Linked DNA regions of Bombyx mori. The protein of the gene in region 1 interacts with the protein of each later gene in a pairwise test. Links are inferred from orthologs where the notes say so. Each region holds a gene or a part of one and is shown in the gene's direction. Other genes may lie near its edges.

Evidence for each region.
Region 2: the proteins of RNA-binding protein FXR1 (region 1) and Ago2 interact in binary tests that used the Drosophila melanogaster proteins (3 or more experiments, as listed by UniProt). The link is inferred for Bombyx mori from reciprocal best matches to the Drosophila melanogaster genes Fmr1 and AGO2.
Region 3: the proteins of RNA-binding protein FXR1 (region 1) and DEAD box polypeptide 5 interact in binary tests that used the Drosophila melanogaster proteins (3 or more experiments, as listed by UniProt). The link is inferred for Bombyx mori from reciprocal best matches to the Drosophila melanogaster genes Fmr1 and Rm62.

The regions. Positions count from the first base shown.
Region 1 is NC_085112.1:15,603,774-15,614,589, reverse strand, and holds the start of RNA-binding protein FXR1, read left to right. Parts: upstream 1-4,586; 5' UTR 4,587-4,704; coding exon 4,705-4,755; intron 4,756-5,123; coding exon 5,124-5,176; intron 5,177-5,273; coding exon 5,274-5,427; intron 5,428-5,933; coding exon 5,934-6,097; intron 6,098-7,848; coding exon 7,849-8,016; intron 8,017-9,941; coding exon 9,942-10,028; intron 10,029-10,816. Other genes in the region: uncharacterized protein LOC119630931, read left to right, coding at 1-47, 306-398, 504-596, 1,294-1,362, 1,450-3,608. UniProt on the Drosophila melanogaster protein: Polyribosome-associated RNA-binding protein that plays a role in neuronal development and synaptic plasticity through the regulation of protein synthesis of mRNAs.
Region 2 is NC_085118.1:6,267,930-6,277,971, reverse strand, and holds the end of Ago2 (argonaute 2), read left to right. Parts: intron 1-617; coding exon 618-746; intron 747-1,267; coding exon 1,268-1,377; intron 1,378-1,922; coding exon 1,923-2,019; intron 2,020-2,637; coding exon 2,638-2,840; intron 2,841-4,333; coding exon 4,334-4,430; 3' UTR 4,431-5,810; downstream 5,811-10,042. UniProt on the Drosophila melanogaster protein: Essential for RNA interference (RNAi); double-stranded RNA induces potent and specific gene silencing.
Region 3 is NC_085117.1:13,612,174-13,622,777, forward strand, and holds DEAD box polypeptide 5, read left to right. Parts: upstream 1-4,437; 5' UTR 4,438-4,653; coding exon 4,654-4,655; exon of another isoform or gene 4,656-4,944; coding exon of another isoform or gene 4,945-5,036; coding exon 5,037-6,056; intron 6,057-6,235; coding exon 6,236-6,474; intron 6,475-6,568; coding exon of another isoform or gene 6,569-6,648; exon of another isoform or gene 6,649-6,943; intron 6,944-7,132; coding exon 7,133-7,311; intron 7,312-7,367; exon of another isoform or gene 7,368-7,505; intron 7,506-7,694; coding exon 7,695-7,874; 3' UTR 7,875-8,243; downstream 8,244-10,604. Other genes in the region: histone deacetylase HDAC1, read right to left, coding at 89-189, 984-1,101, 1,177-1,289, 1,657-1,705; uncharacterized protein LOC101736496, read left to right, coding at 9,507-9,559, 10,488-10,604. UniProt on the Drosophila melanogaster protein: As an RNA helicase, unwinds RNA and alters RNA structures through ATP binding and hydrolysis. Involved in multiple cellular processes, including pre-mRNA splicing, alternative splicing, rRNA processing and miRNA processing, as well as transcription regulation.

The DNA.
Region 1 (10,816 bases):
ATTGAGAGATGAAATTCTTCTTCAATTTTTGCAACTCAACTCGCAAGGTAATTGGGTACATATTTTCCATTTTGTACATTTTTTACAGGATTGAAATTTTTTTTGTGTATAAAAATTTATACTATGTAAAAATTTGTGTTAGCTCAGTTGGTACCTAAAATGCTCACTTCTCGCACATATGTCTACTGCATGGACCAAAGATAGTTTCTAAGTCCATTTATATCTAGACCACACTTTGAAATTCAACATGCTCTTGAGTGTAGAATAATTCAAAGTAAATTAAAAAATGTATGTTTTTATATCAGCGGATGTCACCCCACAAGGCCAGTTCGAGGTTCAGGCCGTTCCTAGTGCTTTGATGCCAGCATCCTCAAGTCAGCCTAGCGGTCTAGAGAAAAGTGAGAATCAGGATTGTTTAAATTTATATCAGCAAGAAAAGAAATACTAAATTTTAATCTTAATAGACATGTGTAATAATTTAAAATAATTAATTTAATTTTCAGCTGATGTCACCCCACAAGGCCAGTTTGAGGTTCAGGCTGTTCCTTGTACTTCAATGCCAACATCCTCAAGTCAGTCTAGCAGTCTAGAGAAAAGTAAGAATCGATTTCATGAAAGCAATTCTAAATTTTAGTTGTAACGAAGATCTGTAAAAATAGTTCAAAATTCCTACTAATATTATAAATGCGAAAGTAACTTGTCTGTCTATTACACTTTCACGTCTAAGCCACTGAACCCATTTTGATGAAATTTGGCACAGACAATTTGTAGACAGAGAAAGGACACAAAATACTATTATCAAGTGATAGTACAGGGACATGCGATATAACCGAATCCCATGCGGGAGAAGCCACAGCCGAAAGTCTAGTTTAAATAAATGAATATAATTTTTTCAGCGTATGGTTCTGGTTGTGTTTATTTAACAACTAGCGACCCGCCCTCGCTTCGCTTAGGAAACTGTCATTAATTATTGATTTCTCCACTATTTAATGGATGTTATTATACATATAAACTTTCCTCTTCAATCACTCTATCTATTAAAAAAAACCGCATCAAAATCCGTTGCGTAGTTTTAAAGATTTAAGCATACATAAGGACAGACAGATAGATATAGGGACAGAGAAAGCGACTTTGTTTTAACTATGTAGTGATACAACATGTTTAGTTATTGTTTTAGCTATTTTTTTTAATATTGTTTATTTGTATTGTACTGTTGGTTTCCCTTATAAATAAATAAAATATAATAAGATTATAATACATACTAATTCTATTGTACTTCATATATTTTTACAGACGTCACCAAAGGAAGCCAGCGGAAAGAAAGTGAAAGTCAAATAAGAAAAAGAAAATTAGAAGATGTTGGTGAGTTTTGTATTATTAACTCCATCTACTTATAGCACCACTTTTAACGATTGGTCAATAAGTATTAATGTAATTTTTTTGTTTTAGATGTTACACCACGGAAAAGGAAGCTCTTAAGTGAATTGAGAAAAACAAAGTGCACATTGGCATCATTAAAAAAGAGCGCGAAACTAATAGACAATTTATCGTCAGAGTTTCTAAAAGAAATTGTCACGTCTGCGTTGATAAATCAAAAGCGTAAGTCACAAGGCAAACGCTGGACTATTAAAAATAAAATATCAGCATTAGCCATCTTCAAGCGTTCACCAAAAGCTTACCGATATCTGCGATATCTCGCACCATTTCCGAGTATCAAAACATTGCAAAAATTAATGAAAAAAATACCTGTTGAGCCAGGTTTAAATACAGCTGTACTTGACCACCTGAAAAAACTAGCTCCCATTAAAAAAATAAGAGCAAAATTATGTTCGCTAGTCTTTGATGAAATAGCGTTAAAAGAAAGGTTAACTTATAGCGAAGCCACAGATAAAGTGGAAGGGTTTATCGATTATGGATATGAGAGGAAAGATGAGCTAGCAAATCATGCCTTAGTCTTCATGTTACAAGGTATTGGGAGAAAAATTAAACAACCGCTGGCATTCTATTTCATAAGAGGCACAGTATCTTCAGAAAAATTAGCAGTTTTAATAAAAGATATAATTAAAGAAATTACTAACTCGGGATTTCAAGTTTTATCAACAATATGTGATCAAGCGCCCACCAATATGGGAGCATTAAGTCTGTTAAAGGAGTGGAACAATGGTGGACATAATTATTTTGAATTTGAAAATAAAAAAATTTATATAATTTATGATATTCCACATTTATTAAAATCACTGAGAAATAACTTTTTAAAACAAGGATTTCTGAAAATGGGAGAATTGAAAGGTCAATGGAGCCATTTAGTTGAGGTAGAGGAACGAAATAGAAATTTTTTATATCTTAGCAAACTCAAATCAACTCATGTACAACCAAAGTACAGAGCTAAAATGAAAGTTAAGTATGCCGCACAAATATTTAGCCAAACAGTGGCTGCTGTTCTTAAATTATTAGCTACGAATGTGGAAAATGTACACCGATCAGATGAAATATTACAGACTGCTTTGTTAATTGAAAAATTCAATAAACTTTTTGATTATACAAATGGGCCATCAGGACATGCTGACGTAAAAAAAGGTATACGGGAAAACGTATCTGCTAAAACTGACCATTTAGCTGTTTGGACAGAATATAGAAAGCAACTGTCTACTTTAACATTTTTCAACCATAATGGCGTGGAAGCAAAAAATGTAAAGTGTGTTCAAGGCTACATTATATCATTAAAATCGCTGCGTGATATTTGGCTGGAAGTTCAGGATTTAGGATATAAGTATTTGAATCTACGGCAGTTAAACCAGGATGCATTAGAAAATTTATTTGGGTTAATAAGACAGCATGGTCAAACAAACAAGCATCCGACGTGTTCTACATTTATAGCAGCTATGAAAACCTCTATAATATCAGGACTTACCGCCCCTCACAGCAAAAACTCCAATTGTGAAGAAGACAAAAAGGAACTCATGACGGATTTTCATGATTTAGTTTTTGGGTTTAAAGACGAAGATGATCAAGGTCAAGATATTAATGAGTCTCCTAGTCATGTTTCCACAGAAAATGAAAATGAGGAAGACAACCCGGTTCTCAGTATACCTGAAGAAGAAGAATATAAAGAAATAGTATGTGACCTAGCAAAAATTTCAAATCAACCAGTGGTCTATATAAGTGGATATCTAGCTTCTGTTATTCTAAAAAAAAATGATTGCCAGGTCTGTAGAGAAACTTTGACAGTTGCAGATCCAGAGGAAAATAAGATTTATGATTTAATTAAATTAAGGGAGTGGTGGCAAGATAAGAAATGTTTGACATATCCATCATTGCAGTTGTGTCAAACTGTACACACTGCGGTTACAAATTTTGAACAGTTTTGTATCCCTAACCTACATAATAACAATATTTGCCAGTGGACAATTACTATATTTTATTCAAATTGTAATACAGAGTGGCTATGCATTAATCATCGTCAACAAATGTCAGACTTATTGTTTACAAAATTGGCTCTAATGCTGATTCGGCGACAGTGCCAGATAATTAATTTAAAGCAAGTTTCAAAGGAAGAGGATTTGGCGGACGCGAACAAAAGGGGTCAACAATATGGTGTTTCAAGATAATTACATAATTAGTTTTTATTTGTTTTTTGTAGAAAGAAGTTAACTTCGGGTTTGAGTTCAAAAAAAGTATACATTTAGAGATTTAGAACTTTATTTTTTTACTATTATAAAATAGAAGTTTTTAAAAATTTACTCTTCAAATGGAAATAGAAACGAATTGTTTTTTATTTAGCACAAAAATTTTCAAAACCTAGTTCGTTATAACATTATAAAACAAGGTTGAAAACCTCTACATGTATACTTATTGTACCTTGCATAAAATTAAGTAAATATTGGTTTATATTGTAAAATAAAAATTAAACATTTCCGATACAAACTTAAAATTTTTTGTAAGCGTTAAAATTCTACTTACAAATTTCATTAAAATTATACTAAGTAATAAAACATTGTTTTATTTCTTTTAAAATAATAAAGTTTTTATTTCAATATGCAATCCTTGCCTGCATTCGATATCGACAAAAATATCGATAATATTCGCATCATTATTTATTGGACATCGATATTAATGCCCATCACTATTTTTGACAGTGGTAGGATTTTTGTAGTCTGTGGTTGTTTTAATGTTGTCACCAGATCGGATCTGATCCCATACATTTTCATTTTGTAACGTTTACTATGAAGTGCGGACTCTTATAACGTAGTGATTATATACTCTTTGGCAAAATTAAATGAACAAGCAGTAAATTCAAATAAGAAACTTGGTAAATAAAATTTAATGCAGAATCTGGGGTGAACTTAATTGTTTATGATCGGAATCAATAGTTTTACTCGGAATTAGCTGAGTTTACACTGTATGGTGGCGTTAAGCTATACATTTGATTTCTATGAAATATCAATTCAGAAATGAAATGGTCCTCTGTATTTCTTTGTTTAAAAAGTGAATAGGTAACAGATTAGACACTAGATTTCACAGGGGAATTCCAAATTCAAAACGTATCAATGATTCATATTGTAAACTTATTTCACAGTGAAAGGCAGTGCTTTTAAAAATAAATCTATCATAGTCTATGCTTGAATTCTCTAAAGCGATTGGTCAGTGAACCGCTGCGAATATTCGTTCTCGTTCGGAAAACGCCAAATACGCTTTCAAACCAAAATGGAGGATTTGTCGGTCGAGGTGTACGGTGAAAATGGTGCTTATTATAAGGTTTGTAAACCGTGAAGTACGCTAAAATTTGAGTAAACACGCGTCCCTCTAATTAGTTTACAGATCAATCAATCGTAGCCGATGACCAGGGCAGTGATATGTCTTATACTTACAAAAATATTTTTCCGGGAAGATCTCTGCTGGAATAGACGCCATGTCCGTCTGACAGGGCGTGATTTTTCCATGTGTTGTAATAATTTTTATGCTTGTAGTATTTTTAGAAAATATCGTGCAGTAAATGGATGTCTGCTCCTCATGTGGTGATTTAACATTAGCGTATTTTCGCGTAAATGACCTAGTTATCACATCCGCAGCGCATCACCAAGTTGCTGTGGCTTTAAAATGTTCCAAAAATTCTTTATTTTTAGGCCATTGTCACCGACGTGCTCGACAACGAGGTTCTAGTAGCCTTTGAAAATGAGTGAGTTTATTTATATTTAGTATGTAAATTTATATACTAGTGTATAAACTGTCTTATTTTTTGTAAATTTATTGACTACGTTTGATTAAATTTTTAGCTGGCAGCCAGAATCAAAGTTTCCGTTTTCTCAAGTTTTCTTACCACCTAAAGACACTGGCAAACACACAGAATTTACTGAGAACCAGGAGGTGGAAGTATTTGCTAGGTCTAATGAGAAAGAAGCGTGTGGGTGGTGGACTGCAAATATCAAGGTATTGAATTACACACACATATATTAAACAAATCAAAATATGATAGAATTTTATTCTAGAACAAATGTTTTCGAAACTACCCTTCATCTTGTTTACTTGTACATGATTTTCTATTTTAAACCCTAATTTCTACCCTCCTTTTTGCTTTTTTGTTAAAAATTTTTGAAAACTTGCCCCAATTTAACTTAGTCTGTTTGGTTTTATTTCAAAAATATACTAAGATTTGTTGCAATTTAACTTCAACAAATTTTATTAAAATTTTTTTTAATTTAATTTATTAAAAGCGAATTAAACATTTGGTTACTTCAATTTAGAGTCCTTTGAAGTATTAATCCAGAAATACTGCCTGTATACAATATCAAATACAGCAAATCTTGCTATGTTAAATTCATCACATTGCATAATAATGTCTAGACTATATTTTTGTTTTTGTTTCTATAATAGTTTTATGTAGAATGTGGAATTAAGAATCATATATGCCAATAAAATGTCAATATTTTTTGCAGATGATGAGGGGTGATTTCCTTGTGATAGAATATCTAGAATGGGATAACTGTTATACGGAAATTGTGCCTAAAGATCGTCTTAGGGTAAAATTACCGAAGACCCCAATAGACAAAAACACATTTCACAAGTTTGAAATAACAGTACCTGATGAACTGAAGGACTAGTGAGTTATAATTTGAATTATAATATTTATAAAAAAAAAACATGCATCATATTGAATAACAATCACTTCCCAGTTGGAATAATGTCTCCATCATGCTATTATAAAAGTGGGTATAATGTATGCTAGTGTTATTGAAGTCCCATGCAGCTGTCAAGTGGTCTCTTACAAATTGGTAGCTAATGGGATAATAGAAAATCTTAAGATAGCTACTCTCCTGTAATATTTACTAATGTAATAAATATTTCATATACATTTTTAACCAAACATGACCACTAATAAAGCATATGGAGTAATTATTATTACATATAACTCTTACACATCTAACATTGTTGATATCATCTCTTTTGCTAAAGTAAAAATACGTAGTTGTTCACTAGGGACCACAAACAAACATATTAGAAGTATCATTAGTTGGTAGAAGGGAGATTGTGAAGGGGTAGGTACAAGAATTCAGTATCTGTTTTGAAATGTTCATATTCATATTATTCATATCTGTAGGTAGGGGAGTTTTTATATCAATGCTATTTAGACTTGAGTTGTTAAGGTAGAATGGATACATTGATACTAGTAATGTTAGTAGTTAGCTGTAAGCTGATCTGCCCAACATAGCAATAAGAAAGTTAAAGAATATGTGTAATGTATTCAGTCTGTGAACTATTTATGAATCTATTGAGTCTTAAATTAAATTCAACCCTCCTGTAAAGGTTCCAACTCCTAAAGTATGACATAATCTGCATTCATACTAGAAAAGATAAATTGAATTATTATTCCATTTATATATTGGTCAAAATTTTAAGAAAACAAAATTTAGTACCTGAAAAAAATTTGTTGCATTAATAAATAGTCTGATAACTTCATAAATACTAAAATATACCTAACTTTAAAATTGAATAGGAATATAAAGATCAATATGTTGACTAAAACTGAGCTTATGATATTTTTGGGATACAGGTGTTAAATTCAACAGTGTGGGCAAAGAGGATATGAATTACTTGTAATTTTTTGTCTATTACAACTTAAAATAACTTTTTAGTTAACATCGCTAAATGCTGGCTGGTGGGTTGATTCTGTTTGGACAAACCTTTTTTTTAAATGAGAAACATGTTTATTTGCTATGTCTGAATGGTTTATTGTCATATATTTAATTGTTTATAAATTTTGATGTCTTTTTAATATATCAGTCTGGTTCACCATATACCATACTACAGGAAATAATTGTTTGGGGAAAAAAATTAATTGAAATTTGTTAAATATTCAAAATTAATTAAAGGGTCAAGTCAAGCAGTATTTTAATAAATAAAACCATTGGTAAATAAACCAACTGAATTTATTATATTGAATACGGTGGTCACTTAAAGAAAAACTTCAAAAACCTCTCAGCCTTGTTACAACTATAAAATATACTACAAATTTGTGCTTGCTTGGGGTACAGCTCCCATAGGATAGCATTACATAGTTAGTATTTCCATTTAAATTTTATTTAGATATTCACATCATTTTGACTAGGTTTCATACTTTGTGGAAGTTCTGAGGTAAAGGAGAAACTTTAGCTCTGTTAATATCTTGTATAGCATGGAACACTTCAGGGAGGAATTGTTTTGGGGGTTCACACTTTCATTTTTACCTAACCATGAGTGCTATAATATGTAAGATCAAAATGATTTTGAATGGAAGAGTGAATAATTAGTCGGACACAAGCATGGCTGATGTTGAGGTTGGGTCGGCAGTAACTATATGGTGTACGTGTGCAGCCTCCACGACATCCACAGCGCGAAGGTGGAGAACGCGCACAAGGAGTTCCAGAAGGCGATCGGCGCCGCGCTCGTCTGGTACGTGCCCGAGCGCGCCGTGCTCGCCGTGCTCTCCCGCTGCGCCTCCTCGCAGCGCCGCGCCACCATGCTGCAGGAGATGCACTTCCGGTACCTCCACACCCCCACCCCACCCCACCCCACCCCACCCCACCCCACTACACTACACTACACTACACTACAGTTGAATATGCTATTTCGAAAAGGGCACATCTCTGAATATATAAAATGTTCAGGAAATGAAAAAAAGTGATTATTTTCTAAAGCAGTGTAAAATTTAAAATATTAACTTTAGAGACATATTTTAGTGTTAATTGGCAATTGAAAATTACTGGAATTATTATAAAATGGGTGTAGGTAAGCCTCAAAACTACATGTATATGAAAAAACCTATTTGACAAAATATGCGACATGTGCCCTTTTCGAAATTTCATATTCAATTATAAATGCTAGCATTACTAGCTTTATTAGTGTGGACGGTCTTAAAACTCATGCCACACGATAAAAGGACATGCTCCGACGATGTCACGTAATATAGGATTAAAGCAAGAAAATGGATACTATTATTATCAATCACTACATGTGATATTTGTGTTATAAAATCTATGGACCGCAGTCGCTCTATAACATGGCGTCCACTGTGATCAACTGTACTTGTCTATGTAAGATAAAAAAAGATGTTTCTCCCGCCTGTCGAAATTATAGCCTAGCCGATAGATGAGCACTTTGTATAAACTCTATTTGGGGTACTTGAGCGATCTGACTATTTGATTGAAATTTCTTTTTATTCGAGACCGCTGAGGTACTTGATGGGGAGTAACCACCATACTTCAGGGCCATTAGCAAATCTAGATCTGCAACCAAGCTGTAAGATAATAGAAATGATATCAGTCAACAGGGCAGTTACTGGTAATACTAACAGTTTAAATTATTCAGCAATGTATAGGTAATATCTTAAATATTAACATCTCTAAACGTAATTCGCGATACCCACATATACCATCAGAATTATCTATCCGGCCATGCATAGCCTCCTCCGACTTATTGAAGGATAGGGATAATGCTGAGAAATATTGACCATACATTGGTTAGTTACTTCACTTGATATTCATGTGTTTGAACTATATGGCCACCTACTCCATATCAGGTCACGATCATCACAACAACCAAATAAACGGGATATCCAAATAATAAAGAGACTTAAAATCTACAATAGGAATAGGTTAGCTTGTAACCTCACATTGGCAATGTTCGTAATTAAACACCGACTAGTACAATCCTTAGAAGCCGAATATGACACATAACTAATTGTAAAAAAAAATACATGTACTTGCCAAATTTTATATTAAGATTTAGTGTCTCGTGTCTTGTTTTAATTGATTGCAGTAGTAATAAAGTTTATTGTGGGACATGTATTGCGCGTTGTGGAAGCGATACCTTTCACTTTTCACGCAATAGTTCGCAGGTTCGGAACTAGGCATGTGCTGATAGATGTAGCATATTTCTTTTTCTTTCTTTTTTCTTCACATTCCTCTAAGTCATGTGAATTTTATCCAACTGCTCAAAGATGGCGGCTCATTGGGAATTGTTTCAAATCTTTGATCGCATTTACCACGTTTTGAATAAACAGATAAATTCATTTCGCTTACAAAAACAAAATCTAACAATTTCTAATTGAAGTAGACCGTAACAGCTGCTACACAATGTTCTTGATTGAAATAGTCATGGAATGCTGTTACACACTAATCTGTAAAAACAGGTATTGCTTTCTTCCATATATAAGAAGTTATAAATTACAAAAAATATTGTAAATCAGTAGATACATACATAAAGTGACTAGGACCAAAAGGATTAATCCTAGGACCAAAAAGGAAATTAGACAATTTAATGCACCGTAAATTCTGACTGAGAATATCTACTCACTGAATCTAATATTTAATATGGCATGGATCGTAGTCATGGTTTGGTTACATGCAAGAAAATAACCAAATGGTTTTGTTTTATATAGTAATAAAATATTAAATTTTAATTTTCAGAAATTTGACCCAGAAACTTATGTTATTGAAGAAAACAGAGGAGGCAGCGAGGCAGCTTGAATCTACGAAAATAAACAATCAGGGCGGGTGAGTCACTACTGTACACGTGCTCTCGTTATGATTCTCGAAAAAATCGTTTTTGTTTAAAAAGTGAGAAACTATTATACTTTCAAACAGTTTAAATAACCTACTGTGAAGTAGGAACCAGAACAAGTTAATTATATTTCTGATACATTCAATATTCAGCATTGAACAAGGATCTCAAGTCAGAAATGTTGACTTGTGGTCCTGTTTTGTTGAACCAATAGACTCAGGCTTATCTCAATATAAGTTTAATGGTTGAACAAAACTGGTGCTAACATTATCTGGAGCCCCCAGGACCGCCGGCCCTTTAGATTGTGCCGAGACGGTAGTATTAGGCTCTCCACATTTTTTACTCTCCTCTTAATTCTCTACATGAGTACACGATCAAAGTACGCACAAATGCAAAAAATGACTACACAACCACAACACTTTGATTACTGACTGTTGACACATTCACCTTTATTAATTAATTAACAATATTTAAATTATTATTTTTGAACAAAACTGAGTTAAACAAAAGGTTGTGTAAGGATGTTTTATTTTCCTTGACATCTGGCGCTTTGAATATTCAAATATAACTATATAATTGTAATATTTCTCTGGAATTAATTAATATACTTTAACTAAATTGCAAAGCACAATTTGTGCAAAATAAATACTAAGAAATTTGCTAAGTCAATTATATATTTTTTCATTAGTTGTTTTTATAATATTCCAAAGGATTGACAAAGGACAAAGGATTGCAGTAGAAATTTTTCTCAATTTAATTTCTTGGCTTTAGAACAAGTAAT
Region 2 (10,042 bases), on another chromosome or scaffold:
TTATATTTTTTCTGCTTAGATCGATGGACGCGATCATGGCCCACTTGACATGAAGTGGTTATCGGAGCCCATAGACATCAATAACCTAAATGCCGCTGCCTACTTTGAGACATCAGTTCGAAGTCTCAGATTTATTGTACAACAGCTGCCTCACTCTTAAAACCGAAACGCATTAATGCTTCACGACAGAAATAGGCAGGGTGATGGCACCTACCCGTGCGGGCTCACAAGATGCCCTACCATTAGTGTCTGTATATAATGTTTTTTTGGCCATTTTGGTAACCTCGGCAGATATTAGTGGTGGAGATTACTGCCGTCCATGGAAATTGGCAATGTCAAGGGCTTATGCTTATCTTGGGACTTCATAATTCTTGTTCTTAACTCATTTTTCCTTGTAAATCCTTCCTTCACCAGTTATCACCAGATAGAAACAGTCTGGAAATCGTAATTGATTCACATGGTAAAAAGTGATTTGGACTAACTACACAGCACAACAGACTCCTTCCTTATTCCCTTGAAGAGCTTGTAGAATACGCAGAGGAGAGATCCAAATTAAACACGCGTCATCATCTGTTTATTAATCAAAGCTATAAAATCAAATCGTTGTTACGTTACAGAAAGAGATGATCGTTCAGTTTGAGGACATAATGGTGGATCATTTCCATGCTTTCAAGAAAAGTCAGGGGATTCTGCCGAAGAAGGTGTTCGTGTTCCGTGACGGGGTTTCTGAGGGTCAATTTGCTGAGGTGCGTGTTACGATGTAATATGACGTCCATTACTGCTTATTACTTTATTTTATTAGTGCCATATTAGATTCGCCGGGCGATTAGGTGAGCTCACCGGGTTCTTACTTGGTGACGTTGCTAACACTAGCCCTAGTAAGAACAGTGCTACGCAGAATTTACCACCGGATTGGAAACTCGACCCACTGATATATTTTAAATTTTTTTTTTTGTTGCTTAGAGGTTGGACGAGCTCACAGCCGACCTGGTGTTAAGTGGTTACTGGAGCCCATAGACATCTACGACGTAAATGCGCCATCCATCTTAAGATGTCTAATATCTAATGTCTCAGTATAGTTACAGCGGCTGCCCCACCCTTCAAACCGAAACGCATTACTGCTTCACGGCAGAAATAGGCAGGGCGGTGGTACCTACCCGTGCGGATACACAAGAGGTCCTACCACCACTATCTCTGTTTCATTTATAACAATAAATATATAGAATTTAAGATATTTGTTTGTACATTATTATTGTTTATGAATCAGGTAATGAAGAGTGAACTGACTGGATTGCATCGCGCCTACCAACGTGTCGCGGGATTGAACGCTAAACCAGAAGTATTGTTCATTCTTGTACAAAAACGTCATCACACGAGGTTCGTTGGTTTTTTCTTTGCTTTGAGTTTTGTAGGCAGCGGCTTGGCTGTGCTCTTGGTATTGCTGACGTCCATGGGCGACGGTAACTACTCATCATCCGGACCATATGCTCGTCTGCCTACAAGGGCATTAAAAACAAGAAAGTAGATCATAGTGAGTTGACACGAATTTAGACACTGAAAAAAGGTTAAAGAAATATAGTCGAATTAGGAATTTAATAAAATAATATGTGTAAATAAACAGCACTAAAAGGGTTAATTGCTGTTAAAAATATATATATTTTGTAGATTGATTCTAAACTTCAGATAAAATCAACGAATGAATAGTGATTTGAATTCAGTAATATACTTTATTAACTGTGTTTTAGAAATTTTTTGCAATTTGGGTCTGGTTGCCTTTCTCTATTCTATTACTAATACTATTACTATACTATAATTATCTGATAGTAACATTGGGAACATAAGTCTTGGTAGTAAATTCATATAATTTCGAAATACGTACTTATTAGCTCCTCAAGAAATTCTTTACTATTTATTTGTTTTAGATTCTTCCTGCCCGGGAACAACGCCCGTTTCAACGTCGATCCGGGGACTGTGGTCGACCGTGATATAGTACATCCACGTGAATTGGACTTCTATTTGGTAAGTATAGAGTATAACGATATACATTATATATTTAACAAGTGAAATCCGGTCAAGTCACGTTGAATCTACTCGTGAGCCGCCTGTCGTGCGTTGATGGTACTATGTCAGAAACTGAAGCCCTGTACCAAATTTCATTACAATCGAAAATAAGTTCACGCGATTTAAACTCTTCAGTGTGTTGTTTTGAAGTCGTCGTGGCCTAAACGATAAGACATCCGGTGCATACGTTACTAGCGATGTACCGGTGTTCGAATCCCGCAGGCGGGTACCAATTTTTTATAATTTAATAATGAAATACGTACTTAACAAATGTTCACGATTGACTTCTACGGCGAAGGAATAACATCGTGTATAATAAAAATCAAATCCGCAAAATTATAATTTGCGTAATTACTGGTGGTAGGATCTCTTGTGAGTCCGCACGGGTAGGTACCACCGCCCTCTCTGTTTCTGCCGTGAAGCAGTAATGTGTATTGGTTTGAAGCTTGGGGCAACCGCTATAACTATACTGAGACCTTAGAACTCATATCTCAAGGTGGGTGGCTGGGCCGTGATCTCGTTCACACACTTAAGCAATAAAAAAAATTAAAATTATAATCGAAATCGCATTTGTAGGTGTCTCACCAAGCGATCAAGGGCACGGCTCGTCCGACGCGCTACCACGCCGTCTGCAACGACGGCAGGATCCCGGAGAACGAAGTGGAGCACCTCGCGTACTACCTGTGCCATCTGTACGCGCGTTGTATGCGCGCCGTGTCATACCCCGCGCCGACCTACTACGCGCACTTGGCCTGTCTGCGGGCTCGCTCGCTCACCTAGTAACTATCTTTGTTTTACTTGCCATAACCCAGCCCGTACCGTCAGCAAAAAACAGCTAGGCGCAAGTCATCCTTGAAACGACCTAACCCAGCCTGTACCGATAGTAAAAAACAGCTAGCCAATAGTCATCTTTGAGACGCCAGTTTACTTGTATTAACCCAACTCGCACTGACAGCAAATAGCAGCTAGGCCCTTGTCATCCTTAAGGCGATAGCTATGATTTAAAAATATATTATATATGCGTCTCGGGACGCCTAAGTTGAACTATATAATGATGAAATTGTTTGACTTGAGAAAAACTCAGGTTATTACTTAAATTTTATGTATTATTAATAATTGAGTCGACTATTATCAAAGGCGGCAATCTGACTTTTGGATTGGTAAATCAGAAAAACGAATTATTGACTTTGTATTCCATTGGCAGTCACAAAACTCTTCGGAACGACATCTTAGATAAATAACAGGTTAACTATTAACCTTTATTTAATGCAGGTTTTGAACCGTATTTTTTGAAGGAGACGATTATATTCAAATAAATCTGTATTGACATATCAATAAATTTTTTTTGTCCAAATGTACAGATTGCCACCTTTGATAATAGACGACTCAATTATGGTAATGCAAGGAAAATTGTAACATAAATTGAAAGAGATATATAAATAGCTAGGAGTTGTATACGTTCTCACCGGTCACCGTCCTCGTCGAACCCGTCGCTTGCGACGAAGGGCTCGACGAGCGAACTAACCCATAGACACAGCCCACTGAGTTTCTCGCCGGATCTTCTCAGTGGGTCGCGTTTCCGATCCGGTGGTGGATTCTGCGAAGCACTGCTCTTGCTAGGGTCAGTGTTAGCAACTCTCCGGTTGAGCCCCGCGAGCTCACCTACGAACGTTAGGGTGAAGCTGAAATAGCCTCTCAAGGCTATCAGCATAAGTAGGAAAAAAAAACGTTCTCAGTACCGCTGCTGTATGCATGAGAGAAGGAGAAGCCAGACAGGCGTCGTAACGCGTTACGTAACGAAGTGGTTTACCCACCCATAAGAAGTTAATTTATTAAGTTACGCCCAGTGGCTTGCAATTGGAGAGGCCTATGTCCAATGGACTGCTATAGGCTAATGATGAAGAAGTTATCACTTCAAAACTTGGTAACCGTTTTTTGTTTTGCCTTATCTAGACCGGAATTTTGTCGTAATCTGCGCGAGCTCACGCTAATCACGCTAATCACTACATAGTATAAAACAAAGTCGCCTTCTCTGTCCATATATCCCTATGTATGCTTAAATCTTTAAAACTACGCAACGGATTTTGATGCGGCATTTTTTTTAATAGATAGAGTGGTTGAAGAGAAAGGTTTATATGTATGATAACATCCATTAAATAGTGCAGAAATCAATAATAAATTACAGTTTTCGAAGCGAAGCGAGGGCGGGTCGCTAGTCACTAATAAATGTTACCTCGTTGAATGAATGTGTTAACATTTTTGTTTATTTCAGTGGCGAGATATTCAATAATAACGATCTCGAGAAGAATCCCAAACGTCTCCGGGTCCTCGACAGCATGCTGAAACAGAGCCGTATGTTCTTCGTCTAACAAGATGATATTTTAAAAATGTATATGTAATCACTATTTAATAAAACACGTATAACAACGAATGACTTCATTCGTAATCTTATTATATTAATATCAATAACCATGCCTTTTGCAATGAAAATTATAAACACGTCTCTTACCCTATAAATATGATTGTTTCATGACAGAAATTAGATAGCTTTTTGTGTAAAATCAAGATTTTTTTAATGAAAATATAAAACGTATGATTTTTTTAAGGAAAACTTCTTTGAGTTAATGAAAAATTTAAAAACTAATGTTCTTTGTACCGAGTTAATCCGGTAGGTTTCGCTCGCACAAAATACAGAAGATAAACCAAAGAAGTTTCACTTCTTAGTTTTACAGATTTGCATGTGAGACTCAAATAGCCTCAAGCGCTTTTTAGATCGCGGTTGTCATGTAAAAACCATAATATATTGTATCTCGACATCGGAGGTATAAACTCTGATATAAATTGTTTCATCTGTACAAATTGAGTGACTTAAATTATAATTGGTCCAGGATAAGATGTCCGAGTTTGGTTAAGACCCTACACCATCATCATATTCTCAAATAATATGATATGGTGTTGTTTTGCGGAGTATATATTGTTTACTCTTGCGCTAGGATTCGTTTTATCAGGTTCTGATGCTTTGACACGCATTTATTCGTCTGAAGTCGAGATGTTACTGCTTATTTGCATCTGCTTTTACTGGTGGTAGGACTTCTTGTGAGTCCGTGCGGGTAGGTACCACCGCCCTGCCTATTTCTGCCGTGAAGCAGTAATGCGTTTCGGTTTGAAGGGTTGGGCAGCCGTTGTAACTATACTGAGATCTTAAAACTTATATCTCAAGGTGTGTGGCGCATTTACGTTGTAGATGTCTATGGGTTCCAGTAACCACTTAACAGGTCGGCTGTGAGCTCGTCCAACCATCTAAGCGATAAAAAAACTGCTTGCCGAAGTGTGAATTATCTCATAACCGTGTATCGGATATAATAAACATACAATGTCATATGGAAAGACGGTTATAACTATTTGAAATTGATCAGAGGGAAAGATAGAGATATGAATGACAAATTATTATTATCATACTATATTTAAAAATCATATATGTATGAAATATTTGGTATCTGAAAAATAATATGATCGTATCGTTTATTTAAAATTTACAACCGCCTATCTTTATTATTAACGTGTTTTAAAATTATTTTTTTTTTCAAGCCTTTTCTTTGTTTGTGCTAACTATTTTTGTATTGATTTTATTAGGATATTATTGGATTGTGTTATTTGAAAAGTTAAAATCAAATCTAGTGTGAACTTAAACTAAAAACGTAATCTTATCAATATAATGTATTTTATTTCAATAAAGTGTCCAGTAGAAATGTGAAGTGTTTTATTTCAATTCCTTAAATGCTCTGGCCTGCTACTTCTCTGATCATGTATAGATAATTCGAGAGAACGAAAAGATGTATGTCTTCCATTTTGTTTTAAATTGTTCAGATATTACGACCAATAAAAGATCAAGCTTATTGTAGAATACTTAATTACTCGTAAGTAAATAAAGTCATCCGCCCTCAATTTAGGATTCCGCGTGTTATGGGTACCAGAGACTAACAAACATTCTTACATAATATATACGTTAAAATATCTATATATTAATACGTGAAGGAAAAACTTTGTATCCCTTTTTACGAAAATTGCGTGGACGGAGGAGTATGAAATTTCCCAAACTTATCTATACTAATATTATAAAGAGGAAAGATTTGTTTGTTTGTTTGTATTGAATAGGCTCCGAAACTACTGAACCGATTTAAAAATTTCTTTCACTGTTGGAAAGCTATGCTATCCCCGGGTGACAGGCTATATTTATTACATTTTCAAAAAAAATTGGGAGCCTTACTGAAACTCCTTCGGAGGAGTAAGGAGGAAACTCCAGTAATCCTTAATGTAACCCAATGTGTAAAAAAATTACCTAAAATTCTTTACATCGCGTGCGCTACTTCCTAAGCGAGGCCGGGGCGGGCCGCTAGTAAAGAATAAAGAGAAGGAATGCAGTGTTTTTTTTTTTTAAATTATGCCTAAAAATACATTAAATCAATAAAAAAAGCATTACACACACTACCATGTATTTGACGCACACATGCATGCATACTATTTACTGTTAAACTTTTGTTCTTGACGTCTGTGGTCAAATTGAGAATAGATTAAAAATATTGTTTGTCTTTATTAATATTATTCTATAGTGTAGTCTTGGCGAAATTTGTGATTATAGAAGTATAATAGTCTTTGAAAATACAATCATAATAGTGTACAAACCACGGAATAGATAAATAAGGTGTATGAACATTTTTATTGCCTTTTTGCATGTGTGAGTGTGTATGCCTACGGGTGTTTTGTGCTAGTTTGCGAACGAATATCTGTCCTGAGATTTATGTGTGGGTGTTTTTGTTGTGTGCGAAATACTTGTAATCACAGTATGTGTATGTGTAGAAATTAAAATAGTGGGGATGAAGCGGCGACACTGGTTCTAATACAAAATTAGAGCAAAGGCCTTTCCAACCTTATTTATCTATTCCGTGGTACAAACTTACAATTTCAATTAATTATAGTCGAATTTCACTGAGAAGACCCGGCGAGAAACTTAGGTGGTTGTGTCTATGGGTTAGTTTAGTCGCCGCACCATTACTGAAATCCTCCTGCAATTTAATATATTCTAACGATTCAATGCACAGGATCGGGTATGTAGTTTCTGGCGACCACGACAAGAGGGTTTTCGTGCCGCGCCGTTTTCTCGAAATGGGTGAATTGGATTAAGTATATGATACCTATCGCTGGATGACTATATTTGGATTTATATTTTTTATTTCTGCAAGTACAGTGTAGTCAATAATCTATACTAGTCAATTACTATACTATTAGTCAAGATTACGACTTCTTCCCGATGTCTACAGGATCCATTACTGCTTTAACGTCAGTGGGGCCGTGAGATTGTCCATCAAAACCAAGAACTAAATAAATGAAGTGAAATATAGTATATCATTTTAGTTTTGTAGTAAGTCCAGTTTGAAAAGTGTTTAATGCACATACAACCTTGCAAAAAAAATTAATGTTGTTACCATTATTTTGTTTGAGTTGTATACAATTTAATTTTTTTTTTAATAACCGTTATGTAAATTACGAAAGTTATATTTATCAATAGTCTTGAACTTGATCATGGACTCAATTTTAACGGTTATTCGCTTAGCTATAGGCTATTGCTTACGTGAGTCGTAACACGATCGCTGCGTTACGCAAACTAGTTACCAAAAGCCTTAATACTTGAATTCGAACGCTTTAGTAAAACAGAATATTGAATTCTTAGTTGCTATATTGTTTTGCAGAACTTATGGCTACGTATTATGCATTTAGGTTAAAGGAGACAGTTCCGCGTATCAATAACCAAGTAGGAAACAAAGGGATCTTTGGCAGTGAAGCTTAGAATAAAACCAGTTATAAATACGGTATAAGTAGTTAGTTATAAATACGGTATAAGTAGTTAAGTGTTTTTATGTATTTTATAAGTAGTTAAGTATTTTTATAAGTGTTTTTATCACGATTTTTATATTTAATGAGTTCCCGATATTGCTGGATACACTGGGACTGAATTTGTAGTGTTTTTAATGTATATAGTCACACAGCCCCATCTCTTCGCATGAGTTCGTATAAGGCGACAAAGGCATACATCAGAGAATGGGTGAAAGAGTTATCTTAGTATTCTACCAGTGTACTTTGATCATCACTGCTATTGACTGGTGGCAGGGCGTGTTGCAAGCCCGGTCGAATAGTGACGGCCGCCATCCTGAATATGATTTCGGCGAAGCCGTTGCGTTTCGGTTTGAGAGGTGGGGCAGCCGTTGTACTATAAAAATTGAGACTCAGAACTCAGGACTCAGACCGCTGTCGATATCTTTTGGCTTCGGTAACCATTTAATACTAGATAGACCGTGAGTTCGTCCATCAATTTAAGCAATAAATTTTATTCTATTTACTAATTATGTATTAAAATCGATGGCACTATGGCATGATTTTATCCATTTTATATTTATTACCAGTCGTAATGAATATTCAGTTGAAATTTCATCGTAGTAATATATTAACAAGGAAATCCGCTTTTTAGTATCTACTTAAATTACAAGAATTAAGACTGCGCTATGAACGAACGTAAATTTAATAATATAATATGTTCAGAACTTTTTGGATGTGATTCTCATTTCATTTCGTAATTGTTTTGTAGTGCTAAACGTTGTCGCTTTCCTAGGAAAACAAACGAGTAGATTTTTATCAATATCTCGTAGTGACGACGCTACGAAGTCGGAATTTAAAATTTATTTGACTTAATTTGTCTATTTATTATAAATTAAGTTTACTTTCAGATTGGAGCTATTTAAATGACTTCCTCATAACCGGATTGTTATAAAATAATTAATTAATATAATTCACATTTTTTAACAACTTATAGTGCGTTTTATTATTTATTTATAATTCATTGCCTTTAATTAAGATTGTACAACATTAGAATTAAGTTCCTTTTTAGGGTTCTCAAAAATTTGAAACTATAATCTTATTTTGTTATTATAGTTGCTTTCAATTCGTCTTTACGATTATTACGAGGTAATCAGCGTGTCATGTTCTGTACTGAAGAAATTTGCGTTCGCCAGCGTTGTTCTTTCCGAGTTCTGTCTAAGCAGGAATCATACCTCTTTTTCTTTTTTGACGTGACAACGTCTTATAATTCGATGGAACCGGCTGCACGCACGAAAAAACATGACTCATGCGGCATTACCTCGCTCTGAGGCGTTCCATTTAAGGCTTGAAGTGCAAGCGAGAGCGCGCAACGAGCGACAAAGAGGCACAATCGGCTCCGCGTTCGGCAGCGTTCGACATCTGTCTCTTTTCTACTTGAGTGAGCGATGCATCCGCGTGGACAGCTGCTATACAATAATACATTTACATGTTTTCGTCAAGTATGAAGTTCAGTGAAAAGTGAATGTGGTGTCAATTGTTTATAGCAACGATAATTGCGATAATTGAAAAATGAAACCATTCCATCAGTATTTTCTTATGACGTTGTCACGTTCAACTATCGTCAGTAAACCGACTTTACAGACTACTGTTTTTTTCCTACCTAAGCTTATAGCCTTGAGAGGCTATTTCTGCGTAACCTTAACTAGTAGGTGAGCTTATGGGGCTCAAACCTGACGACGTTGCTAACACGGACCCTAGCAAGAGCCGTGCTTCGCAGAATCTACCACCGGATCGGAAACGCGACCCACTGAGAAGATCCGGGGAGAAACTCAGTGGGCTGTGTCTGTGAGTTAATTTACTCGTCGAGCCTTTCGTCGCAAGCGCCGGGTTCGACGAGGACGATGACCGGGGAATCGTACTGTTCGGCTGGAAAAGCGTTGTTGGGTTTGTTTCGTGGTCCCACACCCCACAGCCCCAACACGTGCGATGCTCCGGCGCCCAGCCCCTCGTTAAAAAAAGGCTGTAATCAATTATATTCGCATTATTAATACCGTTATCTGGATCATCACATTTAGCCGTCAAATAAATTGTTTGAAAACTTGATTTAAAT
Region 3 (10,604 bases), on another chromosome or scaffold:
TAAATAAATTACAGTTTTCATCGCCACTAATTAAACTGAAAAACTTGTTTTAACAAAATAAAATAAATAAAAAAATAAGACTAATTACCTGCTTATTCAGTTTTACAGCTGCTGCAACTGAACCCCCAGCAGACAACTGACAAAATTCATACAGGCCATCAAAAACAGGACAATCTTCACCTACATTAACTGCAAAATGTATATTAAAATTAGTCACATTCAATAAGTTGAATATTTTCCATATCATCCCTGAATGTGATCAGGCACTAATAAAGGTATGTAGTTTATAGGATATTACCCATCAGTAGATTGAGGGATAGGTCAAAAATAATTTGGTTGATGCTTTGAACTATAGGAACTTTAACAAAAAACCAATAGGATTGTACACCATTTTCACCATACTCTTTAAATAAATATGTACATTATAAAGGTTTTCTTCCTGCAATAAACAGCAGATACATTGGTTTCAACTAAACAGGCTGCAGACAAGGAGAGTGCTCATACAGGAAAGTAGTTTTTTTTCTTTATAATTTTGGTATGTTATATCTATACTTATCAAGCAGTGTGACAATTGACTGACACAACTAGATGCTGTGGTATAGTCAAAGATTTGAATTTAGGAATTTTTTTCAGTGTCATAGCAGTGAATCAAAGGAATTTTCCACAATTTTACACAAAATATGCTGTATTCAATCTATTATTTTCATCATCTTTTTATACAAATTATGAATATAGTAAGATTCCACTGTAGTAGATTCACATTATTGTAAGCTGAACATAGTTGAAACTGTGGGACAAATCTATTATAATATTATACACTGAAAAAATATAGTTTAATATAAAATAACACACTAAATAAGTAACTCTACTGTTATATTAGCTTTAACAGGTAAGTCTTCAAGGGTAATACATTTTCATTAAAGCATTTATGAATAATTAATACTTTTTTTAAATAATATTGATAATAATTAGTAATAACTTACATCTCTGCATTTGTTTGTTGTACTCAGAAACATTGTCAGGTCGAATAGAACGCAGGAATCTAATGTAATCATCTGAATGGAATTTTGTCATTTCATCAGCTGTGGCTTTGTGAGGCCTCTGTTTAAAAATATATAATTATAAAATCTCAAATCATTGAAGAACTTACACTTAAAAGGTAATTTCAGTACTCACATAAATCTCCATTTTTCGATAGAGTCCATAGTTGAGGAGTAAATTGTGGGTCATACGTATGCGGTGAGGTTTCATTGGATGCCCTTGTCCGTAATAGTAGTTTCCAATATCGCCTTTAATAAAAATAACACGCATTATTTTCAACTTTTTATTAACATGTTACTTAAATCATTTTACGGCTTCATATTTAGCCGTCTGTACCTCGTACATCGTAATACGAGCAAGTCCGTGTACCCAATAGGAACGCGGAACGCTGTACAGACGTCGTAAAATGAAACAATGAACTGAGTTAACAATGTCATAAAAATCCTAAGACAAGCTTTAAAATCTCTGAAGTTCTTAAAAGAGCTAGGCCGTGTGGAAATTTGTATTTAAAATATGAATACTACGCATATTAATTATTTATAATACAAAAACTAATTCTTAAGTTACTAGCGATGTAATGGAGATCCGTGGCGGGTAAAACTTTATTTTACTTACTGTCATAATAGTAACACACTCTTTTCTTACTGTGCGGTTGCATAGACATTTTTAATTATTTCTTCAACGGTTACTTTTTAATAAAATTATTACAATATACTTAAAAATGTTAAAGAGAAATAAAAACCACACCGCTGTGCTTTAATTTGACAATCCACACAAAAAAACTTCATAAAATAATTGAAAGATGAACAAAATGCAACTTCAGAGTACGACAATTTCATTACAGTGAAGTTGACTGACCTAAAAGTTACAGATATTCAATGAACGAATGAATGAATTGATTAAATTGAATGATTTTTAGTAGATTAAATATAGAAATCAAGTGAAGCCACAGTTCACAGTAGGTAGTAGCATTACAATCATAAGCATGAATTACTTGGCAGCTAGAACAGCCCCTTAGGCCAGCGATCGGCTTGCGGCTCGCATGCTGCTCTTTAGCTCCTCAACTGCGGCTCTTCCGCGAAATGTTTACCTAGTTCAGGCACGGAATATCCCTCATTATCTTATTTTTTTAAGAGAAGAGCAAACACTTTTAAAATACAAGGTTATAAAATTCTGTTAGAAAAATGGTTCTTTGATTAAATTTCAATTGTGTGTCTCTCTATTTGGCTCCCAGGGAATAGGCAGGGGAAAAAAATAGATGGTAATATTAATAGATTTTTATTGTTAGTAGCATTTTTTTTATTGCTTAGATGGGTGGACGAGCTCACAACCCACTTGGTCTTAAGTGGTTACTGGAGCCCATAGACATCTACAACGTAAATGCGCCACCCACCTTTCTAAGGTCTCAAGTATATTTATCTATATTGTTCAAGGTAGCAAGTTCAAGTTCCAAGTGGAAAAGTCTATACTGAGGGAAAATTTTCATATCATCATCATCATCATCATCATTGAATTTATTGGCAATATACTTATGCTGACAACCATACGGTCTACTTGATGGTGTGTGGTCACCACAATACACAACAAAACTTACCTACTGCATTTTTTATATAAAATTTAATAGAACCATTCGTAGAATTCCGCACGTTGCCTCTTATGTTATTAGAAATACACGGTCAACATAAAGGATACGATATTCTAAAAAACTACCACAGCTGAATCTTTATATATATATATATATTCATTTTTTTAGCAATTCATTTATCTATATATATAAAAATGAATTGTTGTTCTAACTTAGTCTCGCTAAAACTCGAGAACGGCTGAACCGATTTGACTAATTTTGGTCTTGAATTATTTGTGGAAGACCAGAGAAGGTTTAAAAGGTAGATAAATATGAAAATGCTCGGAATTAAATAAAAATAACAATTTTGTTTTTCCTTTGATGTGTCCCCGGTCGGGTGAATTTCTTTTTTCTTTCATTGATCGATTGAGGTACTACGAAGTCTGCCAGGTCAGCTAGTTTTAAATAAAATTGTAACAAAATGTATCTTTGGGAATTGAAAGATTGAAGAAGCTGCAGTTTACGGCAAGTGCGTAATTTTATACTCCTTACGTACATTCCTAATTATGTCCAAGGAAATGGTAGAATTCACCTTGGAAGGTAGAAGAAACTTAGGAACTAGAAATCATATTAATATTGTAACACTGAAATTAGTTCACGTGAACTTGTAGCAAAGGTTTCAGGAATTTGTACCTTAAAAATTTTCATTCTTCAATTCAACTTAAGGATGTGTAGCTATTTAAAATCGAAATACTATTGTGATTTCGAAATTGAATATATCTCGATACCCATTTTACTATTTTTACTCATTTTGATATAAAGTTCTCCTATAATTTATTTCATTGCTTTACCCAAGTCAAGATAAACAGGACGATCAAATTTATTTCAACATATGGACTTTAAATTCGAACTTCATTTATTAGAGATGATTAGTAGTAGTAGGTTAATGCAATATTTTCTTGTAGATTATTGATTCGTAAATAATTTAAATTCCAGGTAAATCATTTACATTCGGAAAAATAAAATATGGCATTGAAAAGAATTTAGAAGAAGTATACAAATAGCTGTGCTTACCAATGAAGCTTGACTACAAAATGTATTTTTTTAATTTGTTTTGTAGTTTGTATATTTTTTATTTGGTTACTAAAGAGCCTTTTGGTTTTACCGAACTAACTCATGTATACAGGGTGTCCCAGAAAGAATGGATAATCCTGAAAAACCTATTGGGAACACAAAATAAAAAATAAAATAACAAATTCTCAGGTAGTACCCAAATTACTATTTAAAAAAGAAATTTATATTTTCCATACTGCTGTGCGTTTCTGGAATATACAACAGCTACAAATAAATGGAATCTACAGGCTTTTGGTGTTATAATATTCTACATGGACTATACTAAGAAATATGCAGGAAATCGTTTGAGTAGCCAGTGTAATTTTTTATAAAAGCTAATCTGAACTTAATTTGGTATTTTTTTCTTTATTTTTAATTTGGGGACTAACTAAAAAAAATTTTTTTTTTCAGTCCCCATTTGCTCTACTATGAGGTGTTTCAGGATTGTCCATTATTTTTGGGACACCCTGTATATTAGCTGTCCCTGAACTAATTCATGTAATAATTATTTATTGGATGACACGATTATTCGAACTTAGACCGTTCATTCGCTTCGAAACTGTGATTTTTCCCTACACTAAAACAACAAGTTCCATTCGATATCGATTTGACAGTTCCCAATCCCATTCATGGAGGAAGTTGGTTCTGTTCTTCTCATCCTTTCATTCTTTCATCGCGCAGCAGTGGTCAAGGTAGGACGTCACTTCACGTAAATTTGTTCGAATTATTGATTTGTCAGTTGAATAATATTCTAAGTTCTATTCGTCCTGCAAAACCTTATTCCGAAACTGCGTGAATCAAATTCCGTGAAACTATTTTGTTGGTGCAGCGCAAATTGTGATCAGAATTTTTTATCTTTTCCTTTTAGGTGGACCCTGCGTCAGAAAGAATCCATAGTTTAAATAAACATCTTCAACTAAATCCGAAAAATAATCATGTAAGTATTACTCTATTTAAACGTATATTTCAGATGTGAGAGTATTTCCATTAATTTAGTCAAAAATAATGGTCAAAAAGGCCATCTACCACGAAAGCTAGAATTGTCTTGTTTAAATTGAATTTCGGTTTTTCATCACAAGATTATTTCTCTGTCACGATCTTTTTAAAACCTATTTTGGTTTTGAAATGATTTTTAATTTAGAAAGTGTGTAGTGGCATTTATTTAATTCATACTTATCCATTTTAACAAATCTACATGAAGCCATTTTGTCTTTAGCTGTTCACGCATGCGCATTGACAATAATGGCAACGTTTTTGTTACTTCTGGCGTGTTAAGCGCAAGCGCGAAGCAATGTATTGATTTTTTCCTTTGCACTAGGTCTGGTAACTGGAATAATAGCCGTGGAAACGGTGGTTCCAAATTTGGAGGAGGCAACAAATTCGGCGATAATTCTTCTCGATTTGGCAACGGTGGCAATAGATTTGGAGGATCTGGAGGATTTGGTGGGAAAAAAGAATTCTCTGGAGGTCAGAACATGCGTCGCCCAGATTGGGATTCTGTTTCGCTCCAACCTTTCAACAAAAACTTTTATGATCCACATCCTACAGTTCTCAAAAGATCACCATATGAAGTCGAAGAGTACAGAAATAATCACGAGGTAACTGTAAGTGGCGTTGAGGTTCATAATCCTATTCAATACTTTGAAGAAGCAAATTTTCCTGATTATGTGCAACAAGGTGTAAAGACAATGGGTTACAAAGAACCGACGCCCATTCAAGCTCAAGGCTGGCCGATAGCTATGTCTGGAAAGAATTTAGTTGGCGTAGCCCAAACGGGTTCCGGCAAAACGTTGGCCTACATCTTGCCAGCCATTGTGCACATAAACAACCAACCGCCTATTCGGAGAGGTGATGGTCCGATTGCTTTGGTCTTGGCGCCTACCAGAGAGTTAGCACAACAAATTCAGCAAGTTGCTGCAGATTTTGGACACACATCTTATGTTCGTAACACGTGTGTGTTTGGTGGTGCTCCTAAAAGAGAGCAAGCCCGGGACTTGGAGAGGGGAGTAGAAATAGTCATTGCTACTCCAGGTAGATTAATTGATTTCTTGGAAAAGGGCACAACCAACTTACAGCGGTGCACATATTTAGTTCTTGATGAGGCTGATCGTATGTTGGATATGGGATTTGAACCACAAATCAGAAAAATCATTGAGCAAATACGCCCAGACAGACAGACTTTGATGTGGTCAGCTACTTGGCCCAAAGAAGTGAAGAAACTTGCTGAGGATTACTTGGGAGACTACATTCAGATCAATATAGGATCATTACAACTTTCCGCAAATCACAACATTCTTCAAATTGTAGATATTTGTCAAGAACATGAAAAAGAAAATAAGTGAGTAGAATTTCCAACTAATTTTAGTAATTGTTTTGAAAAATGATGATTTGTTGTTAAAATGAATAACTTCATGATTTGACCAACAAATTTCCTCTAAGAAGATCTGATGTTTAAGTACTATTACTTTAAACAAGATGAATAATCTGGCAATGACAATGTAATGCTTTATATTTCAGATTAAATGTATTATTGCAAGAAATTGGACAAAGTCAAGAACCTGGTGCGAAAACAATAATTTTTGTTGAAACCAAGAGAAAAGCTGAGAACATATCAAGGAACATAAGGAGATATGGCTGGCCAGCTGTTTGCATGCATGGCGATAAAACTCAACAAGAAAGAGATGAAGTTCTGTATCAGTTCAAGGAAGGTCGTGCTAGTATTCTTGTAGCAACTGATGTTGCAGCTCGAGGGCTTGGTGAGATATTTTTTTAATCAAATTACTTAATTCTTATGATAAAAAATACAAATTAATTATTAATTTATAAATATAATTTCATTTATAATTTCAGAGGCACTGGCGGAAAGTTATTGTGTTCTATTTGAAAACTGGCAATTGAATGCCAAATTACTTTACTGGATTTGTAGATGAGTGACTGATTCAGTTGTAAACTGTAGAGAATGCAATAACTCGTCACTATAATGGTGCCTCATAGTGCCTTTCACTACATTTGGACCCGAGGCCGGAAAGCTTGATGGTTTGTCCGTAACTGCGGATAGACTTGAAAGTTGAAAACCTGGTGATGCACTTACTATGCGTTATTCAATTGAAAAATAAGGTCAGAAAACATGATTGGTGCATTGTTGAAAAACTTGACTGATGATCGGCAAGAGGTCAAGGGTTTTCTGTTTCGGCCAGTGGAGTCTTGGGCAATATTAAAACAAAAGATTTGAAATTAAAATTAGAGATTTGCCCTCTTTAGACTCCAGGGTTCTCAGTGAGAGGCAACATTGTTATATTTGTTATTATCTGTGTAGCTCATACAAACATGTAAGTAAAAGTGAGATATTCAAGATAATAACTAAATCCTTAATTAAATTAATTATGATCTTTAAAATTAATTTGTGTATTACAGATGTTGATGGTATCAAATATGTAATAAATTTTGATTATCCAAATTCGTCGGAGGATTACATCCATCGTATTGGGAGAACTGGACGTTCAAAATCAAAAGGAACATCATATGCTTTCTTTACCCCTTCAAATTCCCGTCAAGCCAAAGATTTGGTATCTGTTCTACAAGAAGCTAATCAGGTTAGAAGTTTGATTTTACAATTAAATAAATAATATACAATTAAATTAAAATCATTCCTCATACCTTTGGCATGGGTACGTTCTTCAATAGCGTGACATGAATGCAAGTATGAGGTACATTAAATACAGCTATATGCCTTCGGTGTTCATGCTAAACAAATGCCTGAATCCCATCCTCAAATGTTGTGACATTTTATTAAATAAAGTCTAGATTTTTTCCTGCATTCTACATGATTTATCAGATTTCTCTTGGTATATCAGGAAAGGATTTTGTCAAAGTCGAAACATTTGTAGATTCAACAAGTATTCATTCACTTTATATTTTGATATGTTATTGTACTGTAGCTGGGCATAGATTACAATTTTATATTGTTTGTTTTTAGATTATTAGCCCACAACTGCAGTCGATGGCCGACCGTTGCGGTGGTGGTGGCGGCGGGTGGAACAGGAACAGATTCGGCGGAGGTGGACGAGGTGGTGGCGGCTCTTTTAAACGCGGAAGCAATTTTGGCAAGAGTAGCCAAAGGGGGGGCAGTGGTTACAAACGATTTGACGACTATTAAATAAGATTTTTGTTGGCATTTCTAAGAGGGTGAATCCTCGTAATATAGATAAATGTTATGATTTGTAGATCCTGTTTGGATATTACAGTTGTGGCTAGTTTAATTTATTTATTGTAATGTCCACTAGCGACCCAACATTTTATAGGTAACACTATTTATATTATGTTAAAACTGTGATATTTTTTTATTGTGATTCTACCCAAGATTTGCAAAATAGTGCATTCTTACTCTGAAATTTTCCAAGTAGAATAAATGTCGTCAAATTCATGTAGAATTTTATTAATATTTAGAGCGTTAAGCCGTCATTCCACTCTTGTTACATTTCATTGTATAATTACATTGTATGAATAAATAATTTAAGAATACTAATTGACTTCTTTTATAATTATTTCCTTTTCCTTGGAAAACAAAGATGTCACGCTGGATGCACTCCGAGATTTTTGGATTAAAATTCATCTCTTAACTGAAAGGGGGATAATCTTTATCTGCAGATAGGTATGTACCTACTTCCCTATAGCTTCTGGACAGTGAGGGTTTCTTGCAGTCAAGTGTCAAAAGTATTTCTGGGCTGAGTGCTGGATCGCAAATCTTGCCTTTAATCTTCTTAAAAAAATAATTTTTACGTCTATCCAAATTTTACCTAACTTAATGAATCGATTCACAGAAAACGGCCTAAAAAATCAATTTCAAGTGAGTTTTCAATGTGAAAACCACATTTTCATGAAGTGGAACTAGGACGGTGTTATCCCGCGACAAATTCGTTACGGCTAGAGAGAAAATATACAATTTAGTACGAGCAGGAGAGAAAATTGACAGCGTCTCGCGAACCTCTGTCTTGGAAAGGTAGAAAGCGAGCTATTATGTCGTTTCACTTAGCACACCCTGTTTACGGGCGTCAGCCACTAGATGTCGTGTTATTAGTTTTTCGTTGCTCCAGCAGATGGCAGTACCATTAACTATCATAAATGTAATTTTTAATGAGGTATTTAAAAAAAGCTCGTGCAGCACTCGGGAACTGCTGCGGTAAAGCGGTTTTGTCTATGTAGTTTTTCTTCGGGTTTAAATGTGTAATAACGGTGGTTTATTAAGTGTTTCATATTCTGTGAAAGTGCACAAATGTGGGAAAATGAAATAAAACTGCTGCAGATAGCTTCTCGGGATCCTCCAAAAAGTCTACTGAAAAAATCTCAGTAAATGACCACCGTCATCTCTTTTCATTTAGTTTCATCTCAGTTGATTAATGACCCAAATTGATCATTTCATTTCATTTCACCCCATATTATAATTTTTCATAAAAATAAGAATAAAATAAAAATAAGACATGACTTAAAGGTCTCTGTTACCAGGTCATAAAATCCCTAAAAAAAAAAGAATCCGAAGTCTGAATTTAATGAAGTAAAGAAAAATTGTGTACAATGTACGCACATATTACCTATGAACTAAAAGCAAAATTATAAATTTGATACAAGTGGTTTAATAGCATAGGTACCATAAAGATATAGCAGTACAGAACTATTCAACCGCTTGCGATACATATTAATGCAAGGAAATGTGTTTTTATCTATTCGTATTTAAACTTCTTCATTGAAATAGCTCATCGCATGTCTGGTTAAAAACAAAAATAAATTGAAAATGGCTTTAAATGTGCTCACAAGGTTATTAAAACGAAAGGAGTTGTCCAAATTGTAAGTACTAAATATTTTTTATTTTAACCTAACCCAATGTGACATAACCTCATAACTATAAGTCAAGAAAAAATTACTAATTAGTAAATTAGATATATGCGAGTCGGCACCCGATGTACTTTCAAATTTAATTTGCGTCGCGATTTACAAACTCTGAACATTGAAACAGTACCATACAAAACTAATTAATGATAATATACCATAATAATTAAAATGTAAGAATGATAATCTTGTTTTGCGTTATTTAGTGTTAGGCTTGGTTAAGCTGTGCCTGTGGAATTGCTGATCATGAAATTAGATTTAGATACAAAACAATTAGACTTACATGCGATGAAGCCCACCTAATTGCGAACATGTAGATACTATTTGCAAGCTTGTTTTTATCTGCATTTTTTGTTTAATTTTTTCTGATTCTCTACATACAACAACAGTCTTGTAAGCACTTATGATGAAATCATTATATGTTGTTGATGATGATGAAGTTGATGAAATCCTACGGTTAAAAATTATATATGGATAATAGGATTATAAATCAAAATAACAGCTTTTTTTATGAAGATGCCTCATAAATAATCATGACTAATAATTAATTCTTACAATTTCATCTTAACCTTAATCATTTTTAATACGCTTTTTTTAACTGATCAGACTATAATATGCAATGAAGAAAGATAAAAATTATCTATTTCAAATTAAATTATGACGAATATAATAATAATGTCCTTGGTAGAAGGCTTACAAACAGTTTGCGAAAAGCAAACACAAGTACAAACTACAAACCAAAAAATACTAAAAACTATACTAACTAACTATTTTTAAATTTAGCCAATGATGTTAATTTACAAACATTTTTTTTAGAATAATCTGCCCACTATTTTATCTAGAACCCTAACTTGTAATAATATGTTGTGAACATTTATTATTTCAGATTACCTTACAAACAACAAATAGTAGAAACAAATGTATTTCACACTCACATTATTCCCAAGGTTCAATATTCTATATTGCACAATCAAATATTAAAAGGTACAAAACTACGAGAGCT